3 linked regions of the Coturnix japonica genome follow. The protein of the gene in region 2 binds, or shares a complex with, the protein of the main gene of each other region. Links are inferred from orthologs where the notes say so. Each region holds a gene or a part of one and is shown on either strand. Other genes may lie near its edges.

What was found.
Region 1: the proteins of ASF1A (region 2) and CDAN1 are in contact, whole or in part, in a cryo-EM structure (PDB 9CVC), measured with the Homo sapiens proteins. The link is inferred for Coturnix japonica from reciprocal best matches to the Homo sapiens genes ASF1A and CDAN1. Residues at the interface, in NP_054753.1 of Homo sapiens: Gln5, Val6, Asn7, Asn8, Val9, Val10, Val11, Leu12, Asp13, Pro15, Asn20, Pro21, Phe28, Asp37, Val45, Ser47, Ala48, Glu49, Ser50, Glu51, Glu52, Asp54, Asp58, Ser59, Val60, Leu61, Val62, Gly63, Pro64, Val65; in NP_612486.2 of Homo sapiens: Arg195, Arg196, Ile197, Asn198, Thr200, Val202, Lys390, Leu391, His470, Glu471, Glu472, Pro473, Gly474, Trp475, Asp476, Lys538, Arg541, Arg544, Leu545, Gln546, Arg548, Leu549, Met550, Ala551, Pro552, Gln553, Ser554, Ser555, Arg806, Lys807.
Region 3: the proteins of ASF1A (region 2) and TLK2 are in contact, whole or in part, in a crystal structure (PDB 7LO0), measured with the Homo sapiens proteins. The link is inferred for Coturnix japonica from reciprocal best matches to the Homo sapiens genes ASF1A and TLK2. Residues at the interface, in NP_054753.1 of Homo sapiens: Val45, Ala48, Glu49, Glu51, Asp54, Asp88, Val92, Thr93, Val94, Leu96, Arg108, Gly110, Tyr111, Tyr112, Arg145, Thr147, Phe149; in NP_001271262.1 of Homo sapiens: Arg11, Arg12, Gln13, Leu15, Leu16, Glu17, Arg19, Phe20, Thr21, Gly22, Val23.

Annotation. Positions count from the first base shown.
Region 1 is NC_029520.1:23,195,636-23,199,725, forward strand, and holds part of CDAN1 (codanin-1), read right to left. Parts: intron 3,673-4,090; coding exon 3,553-3,672; intron 2,683-3,552; coding exon 2,604-2,682; intron 2,220-2,603; coding exon 2,099-2,219; intron 1,077-2,098; coding exon 967-1,076; intron 318-966; coding exon 228-317; intron 1-227. UniProt on the Homo sapiens protein: May act as a negative regulator of ASF1 in chromatin assembly.
Region 2 is NC_029518.1:57,106,709-57,111,291, reverse strand, and holds the start of ASF1A (histone chaperone ASF1A), read left to right. Parts: upstream 1-1,641; 5' UTR 1,642-2,027; coding exon 2,028-2,136; intron 2,137-4,583. Other genes in the region: DNA helicase MCM9, read right to left, coding at 1-69. UniProt on the Homo sapiens protein: Histone chaperone that facilitates histone deposition and histone exchange and removal during nucleosome assembly and disassembly.
Region 3 is NC_029542.1:1,856,216-1,861,006, forward strand, and holds the start of TLK2 (serine/threonine-protein kinase tousled-like 2), read left to right. Parts: upstream 1-1,636; 5' UTR 1,637-2,280; intron 2,281-4,149; 5' UTR 4,150-4,157; coding exon 4,158-4,238; intron 4,239-4,791. UniProt on the Homo sapiens protein: Serine/threonine-protein kinase involved in the process of chromatin assembly and probably also DNA replication, transcription, repair, and chromosome segregation. Phosphorylates the chromatin assembly factors ASF1A and ASF1B.

The sequences.
Region 1 (4,090 bases), on a different chromosome or scaffold from region 2:
TGCCACCACCACTTATGCCTTTATGTTTCTTTAAGAGGATAGTTCAAAATTTTAAATACAGAAGCAACTTTGCACAGACACTACCTGCCAAGAAGCACAGCCCCTTACAGCTCAGACCATTAGAAAGAACATAGAAATTAGGATGCTGAATCTGGTATGTTGCACCAGTAACATAGCTACACTAAAGCTAAACTGATGTTCTAGATTGAGTTACAGAAGACTCCTACCTGATCTTGCTGCCCAGAACTCTTTCAAAGTCCCAACCGGGTTTTTCATGGTTATCCTCCCATTCACGCAGCAGTTCATAAAAGATATCCCTGTGAACAAAGACATTTAAGGATGTGAATTCCTTCTCTTCAAAATTTGAAGTAGCAACACCCAAGCATTCAATTGCTTCTAAACTACCCAGTGAGTCTCTAACTCAGATTAAGTAATTCAAGCATCTCCACATTCTGATACTTCCGCAAAACTCTAAAGTTTCCATCTTCCATGCCTCTGAACAGCAAGCACTTAAGCTTGTTATGCCTAAGCTCAGACAGAATGACCAAACCACCCATTTACCAGACATACTGAAGACTGAGAAACAGGCTACACAAAATAACACCTATGAGGAGAAAAAAATGACCAAGACAACTTGCCATTCTCTCCTCACTCAGTTGCTGCAAGCGTGGAAGGCAGCAGGAAGAATACAAAGCATACCAGATATGTATGCAGAAGCAACCTATGTAAGGTGCCACACTGCACTGGCATTTACCAGAATCCTCAAAAACTCCTGAAGAATTAGGCTATTCTTCTCTAAAGTCATTACACACTTAGCTCCTGCAGTCAGCACGGACAAAGACTTTTCTTAATTAGAGTGAAAATCTACAGTACGTAGCATAAATGGGACATTCTTGATATCTTTTGTTCACAGCCATGATCAGATAATATCTTGTGAGCCATATACTAACAGTAAAACAATCTTACCTTTGTTTCTTAAATATGTGAAATGCTCTGTCGCTGGGAAAGTTAGAGCGATTGTCGGTTTCTGGCTGGAAAGAAACAGACTGCACAGAGCATGGCAGCAGCAGAGAAACCTGTTGAAAACATAAATCAACAATTAGGCAAATGCAAGTGTAATTTATCCAACAATCTGAAACCCAGAATAAGCAGTGGAGAGAGGTGACGGTGAAAGCAGGTGTCACTAATTGAGTTGTTCAGACTCTAGTCATTTCCCAGTTGCTAACTGCCAGTAAACACCAATGGCTGCAAAGCCTACATTACACCACAGAGACAAGAGTCACTCGTTATGAATGCAAGCTTCTTATCTCTGGGAAAAAAACTTACTTTTTTTAATTGCAATCAACAAATTGCAATTAGTATTCACACTAATGGAAAGAATGATCTGCAGACAGCCAAAGCATATCTTCAACACAGGGCTTCTGAGATTGCAGGAGGACAGAACCTGGCAATTTCTGTATTCTTCTATTCAGACAGTACATGCCTTCAAGTAACAAAAAAGCCTCGTCTTTAACTTTAGCAAAACTGATCGGTTATTAATGTGCCTTAGTCTCAGGAAGCACACTGTACTTTCCTTGGCAAATGCAATGGGATGCATGAAACTAAAGAGAAAATAAATGCATTCCTATCATCAAGCTTCAGTTCCCTGACTTAGATGATCTGATCAGGAAACTCATTTTTCCAGACTGCAAGCTTTGTTTGCCTCAAAGAAGTCCGTAGCAATGAAACAAATTCACTTCTCCCCACCTACACTACAATTCAGCAACCAGACGGCCATTTTTCTGGGATTCATGTTGATTAGACACAAACATCAAAAGCAAAACTTGGCTCTGTCGAAGTCACCAGCTAAGGTCCACAACACTGGGGCAACCAGTAGCAATTCACAACTAACAGTCATGGCATTATGCAATTCATTCACTCAATGAGAAAAAACAAAAACCCAACAATTAAAAAACAACTTTCAAACAGTTCCCAAAGAAGACATGACAAAGAGACTCACAGAAGAAGGAATGAGAGTTAACATTAAGGCCAACATAAATAAAACGCCATCACCACAGAGGTATAAGACAGCATTCAGTTGAGGTCTGCCAATATTTACCTTGGCTGTGCTGTTTTCATATGCCTGCTTGAGTCTCTCGTGCAGGGTGGGAGAAAAACATGCAATCCGTTCATTTTCAGCCAAGAACTTCAGAGTCCCCTTTTCTAAATGGGAAATAATTCTGCCAAGACAACATCCATAAAACCCACAGACACAAATGACAGCATGATCAGACCCAAAGAAACGTTTATGTCATTCTTAAGAAGCCACCAAGTAAAGAGTTATAAGACCCAGTCACCCAGGATCAAATCTCACTGACATCTGCAGGGGCATTTTTTCTTATTGCATTCTTCTCATGACCTTCCCATTTCTTACAAAATCACACTGAAGACCAGCACAGAGAAAATTCACAGCCATTCAAATTTAAGCCAAATTTAAGTGTATTTTGAGGGAAAGTTAATATCTCCATGCCTGGAATTAGTAAAGCTCTAAGATCTAAGCACACTTGCTTCATCACACAAACAAGCTGAGGAAATAAAAAAAAAAAAAAAGCACCTCAACTCACTCATATTGATAATCCAAGACTTGAACAGCGAAGTAAACGCAATTGTGCACGCTTCGGAAGTGCTGTCTCCCTGATGCATCTAATGGGAAAAAAAGAAACATCTGACAACAGCACCTAACACAATTTATAAGCTAAGCAATCGATAATACGGTCTGGAGGAAAGAAGGAACTGCCATATCCAAAGAATAAAATGATCTTCCAGACCAGTATCCAGAAGTTCCTATCCCCTGGCACAAGAAAAATCCCCATCTCTCTGATACTAACGGCTACTAAATTGTTTAACACTCTATGGGACAGAAAAGATTCCTTCTCAGCTTTTTGGCCAACAGTAAGCAGAGCCAAACAGCAAGCAGACCAACTGCAAGCACCAATCAGCTGCTGCTGCTGATCACCTTATGTTCCTAAGCTCAGTCCTAAGAAGCAAAACTAAAGTTAAACAAATAGTTTTCTGAAGGGAAGTCTCATCTTAAAGCCACTCTCTGCTTTTCATACCTATATCAAACTACTGACTGTATCAAGAGTAAGTACAACTTTGCCAAAAAGTCAAATGTAACAATTATTTACCTATATTAGCAGGCCCTATGTGCCCACACCTGAGACCCAACTTTTAAGAAACACACAGCAAGACAACAACACTTTTGATCTGTAAGAACCAACGGAGAAGAGACATAACATATCTGCTCTTCTCTCTGCAAGTTTGTTTTAGCAAGATGTCGTAGGTACTCACACACAACAGTAGAAAAGTAGATTCAAACACAATCTAGAAACCCTGATCTATCATGCTAAAGAAATACTTCCCATACACACATGGCTTTTGTCAGCATCTCAGATGAGTCCCACTGTGCTTTTAAGGTATTGAATACTAACCTTTAGGCTACAGGCAACTTATCTACATCACATTATCATCATTCATGGAAGGACACCCTTTCCACTCAATTCTACTGCTTACCTTTACTTCCTTCATTGACTTCAAGGTCACTCTCTTCTTCCTCTGAAGCAGAAGTTCCTTTAGATGTTAACAGTTGCAGAACAAAAAAAAGCTCCAGGAAAATATTTGGTACCAGGTTTTCTGCAAGAGAAAAAATGTGATATGAGAGATGAATATTGTGATTTAACCTGTTTTAATGATTGAAGGCAAAAAGACAGACAACTGTTCTACAAAGTCTGTAAAGAACTCACTCCCCACACACAGCCACAGCATATATCAACATGCAAATACGTGTGAGGGAAGGGTTTTGTTGTTCAAATTTACCTCACCAGATAGGACCATGCAACTGCAGCCTCCTACAGGTCAAAGTACTGCAACACGTTCATCTACTTCCCTATATTTTTATGTAAAAACTGTTCATTTTAATAACTGAGATGGCATTGCTTATTCTTTTAGGAGTTATCTATACGCAGCAACTACGCCAGAACTTCTACTTGTTATCTGCCTTCTCCTCACACTGCATATATAAGCTCAGAGCTCACAGAAGGGTCAATCTCAC
Region 2 (4,583 bases):
CTGCAAGCACCAGTGCTCCAGCTTCCAAGTTCCACTCCCCAAAGTCCTTCACAGCAGTCACTGTCAAACCTAAAGGATCAATTATTGCAGTCAGTCTTTATTTCAGATTGTAGGAGCGCACTTGAGTGAAAGAATGGGACTTGGCATGCTGGCTTGTGCCACAGACAGAAGGAGAAACAGCAGGTTAACTCCACCACATACCTCTACCATGCATCTCATTTACACTTGCCGGTAGAAAATCCCACTAGCGTTACACAGGTTAGCCATGATCTGCAGAGCAGATTCTGCTAAGCATTCCAAATTTAGTAATTACTTATTAACAAGGGTGAGAAAATCAAATCTACTATATTAAAATGAAAACTGGTGTGACTACAAAGCCCACAAATGTATAGAATGGATGCATTCACCAACCACTAAAATAGACAAATATTGCAGAGCTGAAAAATAAAGCTTAGAAGAAAAAAAAATAATAATCCAAAATGAAATGAACCAAATAAGTTCCCAGCAGGCACTTGTGAATCTACATGTGATGCAACACTGGGAGCACGGAAGGTCAGAAATGTTTCTAAGCTGTGATAATGGCTGCTCACTATCAAGTATGTGCAGCTCTTTCCCATTTCCTCGTCCCTACTCCCCAGCCTTTTCTCTATCTTTAGCCCTTCTTTTTCACTCCAAAGCGCTCTGCTCAAAATATCCTGGTAGATGACAAGCTGCTGCCAGCCTGAAACCTCCTGGAATGTTACAACGAAACTTGCCCAAGGATCTTCCCATGGCACATCTCTGTGCAGATCAGTCAGAAATTATTGGCAATTTATGTTTCTTGATAGTAATAGTAGCTTGTTGTGAGGAGTCTCTTCTACTGTGCCCAATCTGGCCTTTCATCTGACACGAGGAATGCTAAAAATGTACACTGAGCAACAGATGAGGCAACTATCAGACACTTCTTTGTCAACACAGAAGCATAATCACCTTTCCAAACCTGGCAGTGGCTTGGAGGACGGCTAAGGGCCTCACTGTAGACATGGCAGCACTCTGCTGCTTGCCTGCATGGCTCAGGCAAGATGTCTGCTCCGTACCTTCCTGCCGCACATTAAGTGTTCCCCGCAGGCACGATTACTGCATGACCACGTATTTATTTCCTCCGGGAATCGCCTCTCACGCTGACGAGAAACACCTCACACCCCCAGCCCGGGGCACGGCTCTCCCCAGCCCAGCGGCGGGCGGTGACATGACATATCCCCGCTGCCATTCCCGCACACGGCAGCCTAAAATGGCCTCCTCCAAGGGCCGCTTGTGTTCGGGGCGTGCGGCGCTGCCGGAGGCTTCACTACAGCACAGCCACGGGTTGACAGCTTTCTGGAGGCCGCTCACACAGCGGACCAGGGCTCGGTCGGGCAGTCCCCAGTCAGCACGTAACACCTGACACCTCCGGGTTCGCGAAAAGAATTAAAAAGAATGAAAACACGCCTTCCTCGGGCACTAACAACCGGCAAAACCCACAGCACATGGCGGAAACCCACGCGCGAGCAGGGGCGCGGCCTACGGCTCCCGGGGCCGCCCCTCGGCTCCGCGCTCGGCCCCGCCCGCTCGGCCCGGCCCCTCCCCGCTCTGCGCGGCCGTTGGCCGGCGGCTGCCGGGCGGTTTGGCGGCGGTGTCGGGCGCCGGCCGGGCGGGGGCGCCGAGCGGCGCGGAGGGGCCGGGCGGGCGGCGGCGGTGCCTGTCTTGCCGCCGCTCGGCGGTCGGCTCGGCTCGGGGAGGAGGGCCCTAGCCCAGCGCGCGGCCAATCCGGACGGGCGCTGGCGGAGAGCAGGGCAGAATGGGCCGTAGTTGAGTGAAATAGGAAAGCTGCGAACAGAGTGGAGTGCTCCCGGTGTAAATAAAAGGGGGGAAGAAAAGTTTCCCCAAGTCGCGGCTCCGCAGCCTCGCTCCGACGGGGGGCAGGGGGCTTCGTGCGAGGCGGAGATCACCGCTCGGGACTTTGCCGTGCGGCGTTCACCCGCTCCTCCTATTGTGATTTTTTTCAAAATATGGCAAAGGTTCAGGTGAACAATGTAGTGGTGTTGGACAACCCTTCTCCTTTCTACAACCCTTTCCAGTTCGAAATCACATTTGAGTGCATAGAGGACCTGTCGGAAGGTGAGTACCGCTCTCCGGACGCGGGTTCGGCGGTGCCCGGGCTGTCGGATGCGGGGCCGGGCGGGCTCCCTTCGGGCCGGGCCTGCTCCCGCCGCCGCACGGTTCTCCTCCCCGCAGAGCCGTGCGGCCACGCGGGGGATGCGGAGCTACGGCGGGGCCGCCCGGCCCCGGCCCGGGCAGGGAAAGTTAGCGGCGGAGCCCTCGCTCCGGGGCCGCCGCTCCGCTTCGCTCCCCGCCGCGCCGTCGCCGAGGCCGCCTTCAAGTTGCGAGGAACTTGTTAGAGTGGTGGTAGCCATGTTGCCAGCTTTGTGTGTGCGTGGGGGGGCAGAGCGGGAGCGGGCGGGCGGGCAGGGCGCCGCGCGGCCCCGCGACGCGGGAGCGGAACTGTTGCGCGGCCGTAGCGCTGCCAACGGGAGGTACCCGCAGCGCGGGCAGCGTTTGGAGCGTGCGGTGCGGGGCCTCACGGTCCATTTTAATACTTAAAAGGAGGGAAGGAAAAAAAAAAAAAAAGAAAAGGAAAAAAACAGAGCTGGAGGCCGGGCGGACGAGCGGGCGGCTCTCGGTGGGCGCAGTGCTCGGAGCCCGGTGGGTGGCGGTCCGGAGGCGCGGAGCCGTGCCGGGAGGAGGGGGAGGCGGTAGCCACTATTTTTGGAAGTCACTCGAAAGTTACCGGCTGCCGCCGGGGGAGGCGGCTCGGCGCCGCCCTGCACGCCGCCCCGCGGGGACCCCGGGACGGGAGACGCGGCTGAGGGACCCTTCTCGGCCGGGCTCGAGTCCTCCCGTCCGCACGGCGGGCCGCGAGCAGCCCCCGGCCCGCTGTGGGCCGGCTCGCTCGGCACGATGTGTCCGTGCCGCCGGCAGGCCGCGCCGCGCCTCTCCGCGGGAGGCGCCCCGAGAGTCCGCGCGGGAACAACCGGGCGGGAGATTCGAACGCGGCGGCGCACGGCGAAGGAAGCGGCGGGATGAGCGGCACCGAGAGACAGGAAAAGGCCGCTCCGATGGAGCAGCCACAGGACAGGTGCCGCTATGGGGCACAGTGCCGCCTGCTCGCCGGGGAACCAGGGCAGACAGCGGGAGGCAGGGAAAGAAACTCGTGGCAGTAGAGAATGGGGACGTTTCTATTGCTGCTGTGGTTCAGTTTGCCTCCCTCAACACTCGGCGCGGGTTTCTGTCCCTGTGTGGCGGGTTGGCGGTGCTGTCAGGAACTTTGTCAAAGTCCTGTCTGCGTTTGAGGTTCCCCCCACGCCTCTGCCCCCTTCCTAAAACTGATCAGCGTCTCAGTTTGAGCAGCCCGCGCCATTAAGCTCCGTGCACATCCCGATGCTGATGGCTGCTCCTCCCTGACTCAGGCAGTCAGGGCTCACTCAGGACAGCAGCACCTGAATCCTCACACAGCAGTGCCTGCAGCAGCACAGGCACTAGGCATCACCTTGCCTTTCCTTTGGTTTGTGACCACTCCTAACTGTGTGTTTAACAGTGCGATTAATCTGGACAGTCAGGATGAGAACTGGAGGTGGCCCAGTTCAAAATTCTCAGTTCCCTTCCCCCATCTGACAAAGGTTAGGCTACAGGATATGTTTAGGGTAAGCATTGCTATCTTTCACGTTTAAAAATGAGGTTAAACAGCTTCTTGAAGAGAATGAATTGCTGTCATTTCCTTAGCGTTTGTGTGCTAATGTCTGCTCTGCTGTTTACAGCCAGTCCTGTGCACCACTGGTCTTAAAAGTAAATTAATTGAGTTCACTTCCCCCGTCTTTAAATTATTCCAAGTCATCATGTATCAGCAGTATCAGATCAACCTTTTAAAGGTATAAGTTATCTTCAAAGGCTTGTTTTTCAGTACCAAGTATTACTGCTTTAGAATGAGTTTGTTTTCCTGGAATAACTGCAAGTGATGGTATGATAACCTTAAGCGATCTAGCCTCTTATGTCCCCACTCCTTGAACACAGCAGATTACATAGGCTCCAACAGAAGGTCACCAGCTGACCCAATGAGTGCTTAGTACCCCAGCAGCCAACACCAGGTGCTTATGGGGTAAACAGAATCTCTGATGCAGAACCTGGCCCGTTGTGCCGTGCTGTATGAGGGGTTACGGTTTCATTAATGAGGAAAAAAATCAGTTGCAAGCCTAAATGCTGGAGACATTCCTACAGACTGAACAAATTCTCATTACAGCTCCCAGCAAGTAAATGGGCCCTACCTGCTGTAGGAGAATCGCAGCTTAACCAGTCTATGAAAATAGAGGGGCTTCTGCAGACTGGAGAAAGGTGGTGGGATGGCCTAGTTTATGAGGACTGGAGAAAGCATCAGCTTCCCTGATAAAGACAAGTTCCCTGATCCTTTATGCCAGTTGCCAAACTAGCAATTTTAAGCTAAGCAAAATCATAAACAGTCAAGAGCGGAAGACCCTTAACTATAATGATAAATAATGTTTGTTATCTAACTT
Region 3 (4,791 bases), on a different chromosome or scaffold from region 2:
CTTCCTGGGTCTGACAGCCCCCCGAGCATCTCCTCCCTCCACCCAAAATCAAACAGAAACACACAATTGAAATGTATACATCCTTTCAGAACCACGTTTGCTGCAAATGGTACTAATTAGCGCTCCACTAAATGGCTGTGATTGGTTTAGCAACCGATGGGATATTTAGAATGCCTCCTTTTATTTGGGGGGGGGGGAAAGGGGGGAGAGAAAAGCAAAGCGAAATATAGCAGGTCGTTTATTTCTTTAACAAATTCCTGCTGCCGGCCGTGCTGATAAACGTGAATCACGCAGCAAGGAGCTGAAACCGGAGTGGATCCTCTACCTTAAAAACAACAACAACAAAAATAGCAGATTAAAGTACAGGAAACACAGCTCGTGAGATGAGCCTCGGAAAAGCCATTTGCAACGCGAAGTTAACGAATAACGCCGGGCTCGGAGCACGATAAACGAGTGCTAAATAACAGATCCTCCCCCTTCCCCACCATCAGCATCGTGTTGTAGGAGGAGGTTGGGGGGGGGCCAACCCCGCAGGGCTGAAGCTCAGCCGCTCCCCTTCACCCCCCCCCCTTTGCTGTTGGATGGGCTCTGCTTTAGCTGCGTGGTTTTGGGGTGGTGACACCCAGCTCTCACTATCCAACCCAGAGCAAATCCCATCTCTAATCCACGCCTGCCTCCCTTCGGACAGGCCTGGCCACTTCCCGACGTGCTGCTTTGCTTTCCTCCTCCCCCCCCCCCCCTTCACCTCCTTCTTTTTTAATGCTTGCTTTTTGTTGTTGTTAATCAATCCTCCCCCCCTTCCTCGTTTGCTTTGCAGAAAGCTCATTCAACCTTGGAGGCGAGCAGGTTGCACCGGCGGCCGAAGGGGCGACCGCACCGCCACGCCGCCAATGGAAAAGCCTTTAACATCTTGATTCTCTTCTCCTCCCACCTCAACCCACCCCCCAACCCCCCCTTTAGGTTTTTTCCTTCTTCAATCTTGGCCTTAGAAAGGCAGCAGTGAGCGCAGAGCCCGCAGGGCTGTGTGTGATGGCTCCGAAGGGATGCGAGGGGCAGCCTGGATCGTGGTGTGTGTGTGTTTGTGTGTATGTGGGGGGGGGGATTCATTTAGGATTAAGCCGTCATCATGGGGGGATACGGGGGTGATGATGGGGGGTGGGCAACTGGCATGTGCCCCCAGCCAGGGGGATGGAGCTGGGTTAATGCTGGATGGGATGATGGAATGGGTTGTATGGACATCCCCTCACAGACCCACCCAATCCACACAAGGGACCCCCCCTTTTGGGGTGGGGGATATCAGGTCACCCCTTAAAGGGGGGGGGGACAAACACCCTCAGGGCTCTCCTGACCCCCCCAGCCCTACCCACCTTCCCCTTGTGTCTGCTGACCCCACAGCCGACCCTGACCCTCATAGGTCCCCTCCCTTCCCCCCACCCCTCCGTACCTGCTGCCTCCCCACCCCATGGCCGGGCAATGGCCCCTCCCTCCCTTTAAGCCCTCCCCCATCCCACTCGAAGCCCCTCCCCGCTGACCTGCCCCCCTCCCCCCTCCCGTGCTGACCTGCCCCCCCCACCCCCACCCCCCCCCTCCGCCTCGTGCAAATCTCGCGAAGACCTCCGCGCGCTTTCACCAGTGTGTGTGCACCAATCGATCCGATCCGGGCCGGGTCGGGCCGAACCGCCGTGGGAGGGGGAGGGGTGGGAGGGGGAGCACCGGCCCCGCACCTGCCGAGCGAAGGGTCTCCGCCGCCACCCCCCCATAACCCCCCCCCACCCCCTTTACCTTCCCCTTTACCCCCCACCTGCCCGGGTGCCGCACCCTCCGAGCCCTCCCTCGGGCCTTTGTCCTGCCGCGAGGCCTCGCCACCTCCGCCGGCCTCGGCGTGCCGCGCTCGGGCGAGGCTTCTACGCGAGGCCGGGGATTCGCGGCCTGCTCCATCCCCGCTCCATCCCCGCAGCGCACCCAGGGGCTCATCCCCATCTTCCGCCCCTACTTTCCATCCCCCTCATCCCCCCCCCACACCCTGTGCCGCCGTCTCTCCCTTCCCCTCCACCCTCTTCTCCTCCGGGCACCCGCAGCGGCTGCTCACGAGAGGCCGCGGAGCCGCCCCTGGCCTCCCCCTCCCGCCCGTGCAGCCGCTGCCGCCGCCGCCGCAGCAGGTTCCCTCCCTCCCTCCTCCTCCTCCTCCTCCTCCTCCTCCTGCCCCCGGCGGCGGCGGCGGGATCCGAGCGGTGCCCGGGGAACGTCGGGCCCGGGCGGCGGCACGAGCAGCAGCGCCAGGTGAGAGAGAGCCCGGGGGGGGCGGCGGGGATCCCCCCTCACTCTTCCCTTCCCTTCCCCGGGCCGTGGGGGCGGTGGGTTGCGACCCCCGGGGGCGGCCGGGCGGGGTGGCGATGGAGCGCTGCCCGCTGTTGGCCGGGCCGGGGTCAGGCGGAAGGGCCGCGGCCTGTGCGTGCCCCGAGGCGGCGGAGCGAGGCCTGGGCCGCGGGTGCTCGGAGCAACGCGAGGCCTTGAGGGCTCCGATGGTGGGGGGTTAAGATCGGAGACGGCCCGGCCTCAACCCCGGGGGAGCGCGGGGGACGCGGTGAGGAGGTGAAGGGGTGGGTACGGCCTTTGGATCCCCGGCCTGGCAGTGAGGCAGTGACGGGAGGAGGAGGCAGGCCCAGGCGGTGCAGCGGCTGGCGGCGGGGCAGGCTGCTCCTCACCCGCTGCTCTTCACCCGCTGCTCGCCCAACAGCGAGTCGCCCCTCGAAGCCGTCGGGAGGAGGGCAGGGAGGGAATGCAGCCTGCTGCCGGCAGGGATGGATGGGTGGATGGTTGGGTCATTCCCCAGGCCCCAATGGGCACAGGGGCTCCGGGGAGGGGGCAGTTTGGTGTGGCCTCTTCCCAGCAGGGGATACCCCTTCCCCAGCCCGGCATCCCCTCCCCATAAAGGGGGGTCAGAGCTCCGAGGTCTTTAACACCTTCGCCTTAAGGGCTCGCCTGTCATTTTCCTCGGTGCACAGATTTCCTGTTTTGAAAACTAGGTTGGTAGCTTTGTTGGAGCAAATAGTAGAAATGGGGTTCTGCCGTGACCGCGTTTGGTTGTTGAGGTTTGCTGCTGGATGGGGAGAGCGCTTGTGAATGCCCCTGGATCGATTCACTGAGCTCTCTGTAACTTAGAGCTGCAGCATTTGGAGGAAACAGCAGAGACAAAATGGACAGTTAATAAAAGGAACAACTGTAAGCTGCCTGATCTAGAGGGCACTTGCTGCCCTTCAGGAACTTTCCTCCTCACATACACTCTTTATACAGCAAATCCTTATCTTGTGTCTTTTTTTTTTTTCCCCTTACCTTCGTCTGGGTAATGAAACTGGAACAGACATTTCTGGAAATGACGGACTCGATTGGTGCATTTGGGAAGATGCGATTCGCAGTTAAAATGAACATTGAAATTCGTCCCATTTTTCTTTCATAGTTCAATATCCACATTTTATGTTTTATGCTTTTTTTTTTTTCCCCCACCTCTTTACACAGCCGTGCTTGTTTGGTTGGCTGTTTCTGAACCCTTCAAGTGATGGCATCCATTGCATCTCGGTACCCCAGCTTACATGCAGTGTGTAGATGCAGCTGGGGGTATCCGATACTTTATAATGGATGTAAACACACATTATTTTCCCCCTGACAATCCCTTTCCGTGCTTAGAAGAACCAGAGCTGTTGTCAGTGAGTTTTGGGAGACCTTATATTTTAGGGGTTGGCCAAAAATAAATTCAGGGATGAGGATCTTTGTGCTTTTTTTTTCCTCCTAGTCATGCAATATGGATGGGAAGCTGTGAAGCCTTTAGTCATAACGCTCTGGTCCTGTGTTTTCCTTTTAATAAAGCATCCAGTGGGAGAATGTGACATAATTGGTTTCTTGGATTAAGAGATCTTGAAATGGCTGGTGCTACAGACAGATGAACCTCTCCATCAGGGTTGTGGTTTACATACAGTAATACGGTGACAAAATCATGTAGTTATTGCATGGTAATCTCGTATTTCTCTTGCAAGAAAATGCTCTCTACGTGGTTACGCTTCAAAACAGGCACTTTTGAGTCATGTCAGTGGCACAGAATCTTCAATCTTTCCTTTCCTTGCATTGCATAATCTGAATGTTATTCTCCTACAGCAGCAGAAATGATGGAAGAATTGCATAGCCTGGACCCACGAAGGCAGGAACTACTGGAGGCCAGGTTCACCGGCGTTGGTGTTGCTAAGGTGAGTGCAGATCCCTCCAGTGAAAGGCACGACATCCTGCAATACATTCTTTTTTTCCCCCTTCCCTCCCTTGCTAATTTTGCTTTGCAAGCAGAATGTGTTTGTATCCATAGTTTTGACTGCTGATATGCCTGAAGTATGTTGGAGAGGAATGAAAATGGGATCTCTATGAGCAGTTGCACTGTTATATGGAAGATTTGGGGTTCCAGGTTCTCAGGAGTTGCTCCATCTTAAGGCAGCTTGCACTCCGCTGACAGACAGCTTTGTCTTTGGGAATCTTACCCGTCTCTTCCTTTCTCCAAGTCTTCATTTGGGGAATTGGATTTGGCCACTTGTTAGATACGGTTTCAATCTGATTGTGCTTAATACAGCATATAACCAGGCTGAATATAATCAGGAATTTATTCATGCAGTTCTTTGTGGGTATAACGTGTTGAAATTGCCTACTTACTTGGTTGCATGAAACACACCCAAAAGTACTTGAAGTTAAACCTTTCCCTATCAGTGATCCACAACCTGCTGGTAAATCCCATCTTTGTCCTCACGTACAACT